Linked DNA regions of Coturnix japonica. The protein of the gene in region 1 purifies or fractionates together with the protein of each later gene. This does not show direct contact. Links are inferred from orthologs where the notes say so. Each region holds a gene or a part of one and is shown in the gene's direction. Other genes may lie near its edges.

Region 1 (3,743 bases):
CGTTTCCCTTCGCCTCCGAGCGTAGCGGCTTCTCCACCTTAACAGACCGTCTTAAAGCAGCGGGGATGGCAGCAGCCATCTTACGGGTCGCTGTCACATCTGCCAGGCTCCGGGGCAGCTTTAACGCCGGGCAGGGAACGGAACGGGGCAGGTGCAGAAATCGGGAGCTGCTATTTCTTTTTTACAAGTGCACGTTTTACACGCACCGGGATCCCCCTCCCTCTCGGTATTGCAGCCCGAGGTTGACACATCAAAGAGCTGCGGATCGCACACCAGAGCCCAGCCTCAATCCCGACCTTTTAAGCCGTGGTGCCCCGCTGTGTTAGTGCCATTTGCGGTTTCTCACGGCTCGACCGCGATTTTACATACGTGCGACAGAGCGTAACTTCCTCGGGACTCCTGCGCGCTCAGCGCAGTTACTGCTGTGGGATCACTTGCTTAATTGTTGCTTTCAATTAAAAGGCAATAGACATAGGATGACCCGCTGTCAACACTCGGTCCGGGACCAAAACGAGACGTTCCTGGACCATGCAGGGAACGGAGCAGAGGATCTTTGAGTTTTACGCTTAAAATAAACTTACAGATATGTATAGACTGACTTGGAAATCACCTACAAACCCGTTGAAAAGCAGCCGCAAAGTGCAAAGCGTGGAAAAGCACCGCTGAAGTCAAACAAACCGTGGCCCTACGAGGGGCAAGGGAGGCGCGTGGGCTCCGCCGGTGAAGCGGCGCTGCCGCCCCTTTGCCGGGCTCCTCAGCCCCTGGGGTCGGGCCCACACTCGGCGCCTGTGGCCGCCGCCCGCCACCGCTCAACTCCGCGCTTCTCAGCAGCGGGAGGCGGGCACCGGCTCCCCCCGCCCGGCGGGACAGGAGCCGCCCGCGGAGCGCCGGGGCCCTCCTCCCGCCCCCCCGGGGAGCAGCCGGCGGCGGCGGCGCGGCGAAGGGGAGGGTCTAGGGCCGGGCGCACCGCGCCGGCCGGCCGGACGGGCGGGCGGCAGCCGCCGCGCCGCGGGCATGGCGGAGGCGGGCGGCGGGGCCGCGGCCGGTGCGGCGGGAGGCGGCGGGCCTCAGCAGGGCTCCCCGGCAGCCGGGGGGGTGGCCGCCGCCTCCGCCGCCGGGGGCCCGGCTCGTAGCGCCGCCGAAAGCCCCGGGGGGCCTGGCTCGGCGCGCACGGCCGGGAAGAAGGCTCAGCTGCGCGCAGCTCCGCGGGCCAAGAAGCTGGAGAAGCTGGGCGTCTACTCCGCCTGCAAGGTACCCGGCCGCGAGCGCCCACCCGCCCACGGAGGGTGGGGATTGACGGAGGGAGGGGAAGGCAGTGCCGGGCCGGGCGGGAGGCAGCGCGGCTGTTAGCCCGGCGCTCCCCGCGGAAACGGCGGGTCCGGCAGAGCCTCGGGTCCCGCTGCCCCCGGAGCCTCGGGAACGGCGGCGTGCAGCCTCCGCCCAAGGGAAAGTTGCGGCCCCGCCGTCACGTAGCGCCCGACGGGGCCCTGCCCTCCGCCGCGCCCTGCCCCGGCCTCCTACACCGCCCTGCGTTGGGCGCTGCCGCCCTGCGCTGTGCTCCGTAACACGCCCGTCCCTACACCTGCAGCCCGCTTATGGACGCGGGGGGGCCGCGACCTGCCTGTTCTGTGCGGGTGCGGAGAGCGGTTAGAGCTGTGCTGCCCCGGGGCTCTGTGACAGCGGGAGCGGTATCGGTGCGTGTGCGGTGCAGGGCTCAGCGCAGGCCGCGCCGGGGCTGTCAGGGCGATTCCTGGATGCGCAGCGAGCTGACACGCTCCGGTTGGCAGCGCTGATGCAAAACACTCCAGTAATGCTCTCGGTGCTGAAAATAATTGAGCAGTTTGCTGGAAAAGTGTGTTTCTGTTCTTTCTGTTCCCTTACTTTGGGATTTCCAAGAAGGCATGAAGTGAATATCCCAACTAAATGCCCACTGACGCGAGGGAGCATCCCTGTGCAGGTCCGCTGCCCTGCTTGGTGATGTGAAGAGCTTGCTGTCTGCTGGAGCCATGTCGCAATACTGTCATTTGAGGGCAAGCTCAGAAAGCCACGTGCCTCAATGTCTCTGCAGTTCACCAATGTGTAAGCGTCTTTGCTTTGGCCTGGTTGAGTCCACGGCATGATGTGAGGTTACACTGTGTCAGTCAGTTAAAACCAGCCAGTCTGGAAACCTGCTCCTCTCTTGGAAGGTGGGGGAACGTGGTTTGAAGCTTTCCTAGTGCGATGAAACAGTGTCTCTGCACTCTGTGCCTCAGCAGCCCCTGTGCGCTGGAGGAGAGGTGGGTGTTTCAGGGAGGGCAGGGCCTGATGCCAGCCCTGCCAAACCTCTCCCAGGCTGCTGGTGGCACAGTGATCACTCACCTACTCGTGCCCTGCAGGGGTGTCTGTATTATCCCAAGGGTCCTGCAGGGAGGCCCACTTGGTGCTGTCTGGTGGACCTGGGTGTGGGGCTGGAGTACCCTGGGCTTCATCCTCATCCCTTGTCAGTAAGCAGGCACAGCACAGTACTCAGTGTGACTCCCTATGCGCATTCCAGTGCAAACCTGGCCTCTGCTACCTAACTTTCCTTCGGGAATGTACTGGCAGACAACATTCCTTCGGGTCTCAGAACATCAACAATGAGACACCCTTGTAAACTCATCAAGTGCTTTCTCCTGTGGGACAGGGAGAGGATGAAGCTGGGTGGAAGGATGTGTTGTTTTTCTTCCTGAACACCTGGCTCCAAACTGCTTGGGCATACAAGAGTCTGTAGCAGCACAGAGTGGAACATTGAGCTTTTTCTTACTCTGGGTTGCAACTCCTGTTCCACTTGTTCTGTGTGCGTGTGAAAGCTCAAACAGCCTATCTCTGAATGAGGTTTCTGTGGTAGCAGCCATGTTGATCTGCAGGTCTATGTAGAGCTGTATAAGTTGGAGGGCAGAAAATGTGTGACAGTTTCCTTAGTGTTAACAACCTTTGCCTAAGTAAAATTCACCCCACATTGCTGCTACTTCAGCACACAAAGTGTATTACAAGCTTAACCCCCAGAGATGCAGGGAATGGCAAAGACCGTGGGTTTGCTGGGGTGAGCAGCAGCGTGAGAAGATGGAGAGATGTCAGTGGCTGGGAGAATGCCTGGGGTGGGGGAGGAAAGGTGCCATGCTGGAGAGAAGGCTGCAAGTACTGCTGAGCTGAGTGAGAACTGAGGTTAGGGATCTGCTGCCCTGTCCTGGGACTGCAAATACATGTTTGCTTGTTTTTGTTTGAGTGGTTTGTTTTTGTTTTCCTGCTAAGGAATTGAGGCAGGAGAGTGGTCACCATGGAGCTTCACTGCTTGACTTTTCTCCTGTGAAATAAAAAGCTCGGGGTAGAAGGGCAAGAACAGACTCTTCTGTGTAAAACAGCCTTTTAAATGCCCGAGTCTGTGTGGGAAGAATGTGCATTCTGAACAATAAGAGATATGTAAGGAGTTGGCAGAGTATCCGTGACTTTTAGAAGTACACAGTAGAGCTGTATTTGCGCAGCATTTTGCATTTGGCAGTCACTATATCTGCACACATATGAATGACCGCATACATCGTTTTGGTTTTGCCCGGTGTGAAATTCAGCATTGGATACATGAGTTTGCAGCACTTTCCATAAAAGCGGCACTGTGTCGCTTACACACATCAATATGTTTAATGAAGATGAAGGAGGAAGTCTTTTTATTTTTTTTCACACTATTGGTTTGTGAAAACATAACTTTCTTTCCAGTCCCACTGGGAGTT
Region 2 (3,743 bases), on another chromosome or scaffold:
AAGAGCTTTAGCAACTCCAAAGCAAAGCAGTGCTGTCAGCTTAACTCTGTGCAGGCACAGGGGTCAGGTCTCCCCAAAGTCACACCTAAGTGCAGATATAAAGAGCCGTCTGATATCTCCCTCCATTAAGCAATTAATTCTCCATGATGTATTCCACACTTTAAAAAGAAATTAGAGTAAATATTTTCCTTCTGTATTTTAATATCCACGCCATCCCGTTCCAAAGTTCACCAGATAACGTCCTTCCATTCTTAGCAATGCGACGTTAAACTGAGAAGAAAGTTAATGTGTTTTCGTCCTGGCTTTGGGCAGGTTCTGCATGGAAAACATGAGTGCAGCTGCTGCCTTTCATCAGCACGGTGATGGCTGCTCAGCTTCTGCAGTAGTTGAGCTCCCCTATGGTAGCAGCTGCAGTTGCAGCCTTCAGTTTCCCTCTGTGCAGGCACGGCACTGCTTGGAGCTCTGCCTCGTGGGTAGGTGGAGCTGTGAAATTGGCCGCACAGAGACCAGGAGAGCATGTAGGGCTCGATCACAGTGAGGCAACCAGAATGTTTTCATCTGAAGGTGGGCCCACCATCAAGGAACAGCAAATGGAGCTGCCGGTGAGGACGTGCCCTGTGTGTGCTGCCGGCCCTCAGCTGCCCAAACAGCAACAGGGCTTTTCTGCTCAGGTGTCTGTGTGTCCCCACCTGTGTGTGATAATGTGGCTGGTTTGACCATGACGCTGTTATAAGTGATGCAATACAGTGTGTTGATACCGTAATCACGGCTTCCTAAGTACTGAGTTCCAAAGAAAGGGTTTGTTATGCTGACAAAATCTCCGTGCCTTGAATTCATGTCTGTGTGTGGTGGTGAAGAGTCCGGATCGCCCTCCTGGGCACGGCCAGCTGCTGCTGCTGCTCTTCTGGGACAGAGAAACGCCGCCGCTGGGCGGCAAGAAGCGCAGCACGGCGTGTTCGGAGCACGAGAAGATGCTCCGATCCGGCAGCGCTGCGGCGGATGCAGCCGTGACAGCGGAGCTCGTTCCTGTGCCGTCTGCTCGCAGGGCAGCCCGGGTCAGCCCGCAGCGGGCGGGGCTCTGCCGGCCGTGCTGACAGCGGTTCTGTAGCGTAGCACCATCGCGGTAGCATTGACGTATTGCATTTATTTCTTGCATAGTCGTTTGATTTCCTTTTTTTTAAGTTCAATGTACCTAATAAACATTCGCCTTTGGAGCAGCGCTCTGTGCCGCCTTGGGGCTGCGGGGGGGGGAGGGCGGTGCTGGAGGCGGGGGTTGCTGTGGGCCCGGTGCCCGCGCTCCGCCCGCCGCTCCGTGTCCGCCTGCGCCGGCTCCTCCCCCGCGACGCGGCGCGGTGATGGCGGCGGTGCGGGGCGCGGCGGGACGGGCCGCGGGGCGGCGCTGAGGCGGGGCGGGGCGGCCGAGCGGAGGGGGGGGAAGGCGCGAGGGAGCGCGGCCGCTTTGTGTGCGGCGGGGGGAGGGGAGCGGCGCGGCGTGCACGTGGGCACCGAACGGCCCCGCACCGCCCCGCACCGCCCCGCACCGCCCCGCACCGCCCGCGGCCTGAGGGGAGCGGCGCCGCACCGAGCTCCGCGCGAGGCGGAACAAAGGCCGCGCCCCTCCGCGGGCCCTTGCGGGGCGGTGCTGCCTCAGCACCATGTCCGGCGTCAGGAGAGCGCTGGCCGAGAAGGACCCCGACTACGAGGACATCGCGGTGGCGCCGCCCAGCAAACGGCACCGCGCCGCCGAGCAGTCAGGTGCGGGACGGGAGCGGGGCCTGCTGGGTGCGGGGGGTGCGGGGCTGCATCCGCGGCCCACAGCGCGTCTGCCGTCTGCACGCGTGTGTGTGTGGGGCTGTGTGCGTACAGCATCAGCGCGGACATCTGAGCTTCCTGCGGGAGGAGCTGAGGGCGGCCCGGCAGAGCCTGAGGGGCTGTAAGAAGAGAGGGGACGGACTCTATAGCGGGGAAATGGTTTCAAACTAAACGAGGAGAGGTTTAGATTGGTTATAAGGAAGAAGTGTTTTACAAGGTGGGTGGTGAGGCACAGGTTGCCCAGAGATGCGGTGGATGCCCCATCCCTGCAGGCACCCGGTGTGGGGCTGCACGGGGCTCTGAGCACTGTGGGTGTCACTGTGCGTTGCAGGGGACCTCTGTAGGTCTTGTCCAACTCAAATAATTCTGTGACTAAGTTCAGAACAAGCCCTGAGCACTGCCCTGTTGAGAGGCAGTGGATGCAACAGGGATGCAGCTGTTCCTGCCCTGCAGTGTGTGGCTGTGCTGCCTGCAGGTTGGAGGGCTGTCCCCAGCGGTCCCTATGGCAGCATCATTGCTCTTTCAGGCCTTACCTGGGCCAACAGGTTTGGGTGTCCTGAGTCCAGCAGGGGGGTCTGCATGAGGCTGCCAGCAGCAGGCTGCTCCTCCATGGCCCATAAGATACATGTGGTCACTCACCTCATGCGGATGCTCAGCTCAGCAAGTTTGTGTTATTGCTGCTGTGTAACATGGTGTAAACTTCCTGGGTACAAACTGGAAACAGTGTGCACAGCACTGGCAGGCACACGGCTACAGCAGAACCTGGTGTGGTGAGAACACTGGGGTTTCCCTTTTGCTGCCTCAGAGCTTTTGTGAGGCAAAAGTAAACAAACCAGCCCTGTTCTCCTGCCTCAGACCTGGAGAGGGACAGCCTGCCTTCTGCATAGGCCAGTAGGAGAGATGTATGTGCTTCTTGTGAAGACAAATTACGTTCTTTAGCAGAGGAAAGATCTTTAATGTTGTTCATGGTGCTGTATTTGCTCAGTGTCAATGTATCTGTTTTCTTTATTTCAACGGAGACCTCAGAAACAGCAGTCTCCTTTCTTTTCCATGTGTGGCCTCATGCAGCTCGAGATATTGCTGTGCAGAAGATTGAGACCATTATCAAAGAACAGTTTGCCGTCGAAATGAAGAATAAAGAGCATGAAATTGAAGTTATAGATCAGGTACGAGGGATTTGTCTTACAGACTAGGCTGTGATGTGCTGGGCTTTTGGAGGTCACTCCACATTGTGTGTTCCCTTCTCTTTCCACAGCGCCTGATCGAAGCAAGGCGGATGATGGACAAGCTGCGTGCCTGCATTGTGGCCAACTACTACGCATCTGCTGGGCTGCTGAAACCTGGAGAGGTAAATACATGGGGAGCAGAAAGACTTCGGGCAGTATTTGCAAAGCACCTCTCCTATGAAGACAGGCTGAAGGAGCTGGGCTTATTCAGTCTGCAAAAGGGAAGGCTGTGGGGAGGCCTCGGTGCAGCCTTCCAGTATTTAAAGGGAGTTTATAAACATGAAGGAAATCAGCTTTTTATGCAGGTAGATACTGACAGGACAATGGGGAGTGGTTTTAAACCAAAGGATGGGAGGTTAACATTAGATGTCAGGGAAAAATTATTTACTGAGAGCGATGAGGTGCTGGCACAGGCTGCCCAGAGAGGCTGTGGCTGCCCCATCCCTGCAGGTGATTAAGGCCAGGCTGGATGGGGCCCTGAACAATCTGATCTTGTGCTTATCTAGCAGCTGGCAGCCTGCCTATGGCAGGGGGTTGGGAACTGATGATCCTTGGGGTCCTTTCCAACCCGAGTCATCCTGTGATTCAAAGTGCTGTGTCCATAGTGCCTAGTTTTGTGGCTGACATGGATTTTCACTGCATGTTTACTTATTTATTCCAATTACAAAGAGCCAATTGTGCCCCCTGTTCCTTGCTTGCTCTGCC

What was found. Proteins that work in one complex are often made in the same cells at the same time.
Region 2: the proteins of KAT2B (region 1) and YEATS2 purify together in Homo sapiens (affinity purification with mass spectrometry; 3 studies listed by BioGRID, with this or other methods). This does not show direct contact. The link is inferred for Coturnix japonica from reciprocal best matches to the Homo sapiens genes KAT2B and YEATS2.

What each region holds. Positions count from the first base shown.
Region 1 is NC_029517.1:32,849,517-32,853,259, forward strand, and holds the start of KAT2B (histone acetyltransferase KAT2B), read left to right. Parts: upstream 1-1,014; coding exon 1,015-1,251; intron 1,252-3,743. UniProt on the Homo sapiens protein: Functions as a histone acetyltransferase (HAT) to promote transcriptional activation. Has significant histone acetyltransferase activity with core histones (H3 and H4), and also with nucleosome core particles.
Region 2 is NC_029524.1:705,235-708,977, reverse strand, and holds the start of YEATS2 (YEATS domain-containing protein 2), read left to right. Parts: upstream 1-1,517; 5' UTR 1,518-1,655; coding exon 1,656-1,755; intron 1,756-2,880; coding exon 2,881-2,978; intron 2,979-3,067; coding exon 3,068-3,160; intron 3,161-3,743. UniProt on the Homo sapiens protein: Chromatin reader component of the ATAC complex, a complex with histone acetyltransferase activity on histones H3 and H4. YEATS2 specifically recognizes and binds histone H3 crotonylated at 'Lys-27' (H3K27cr).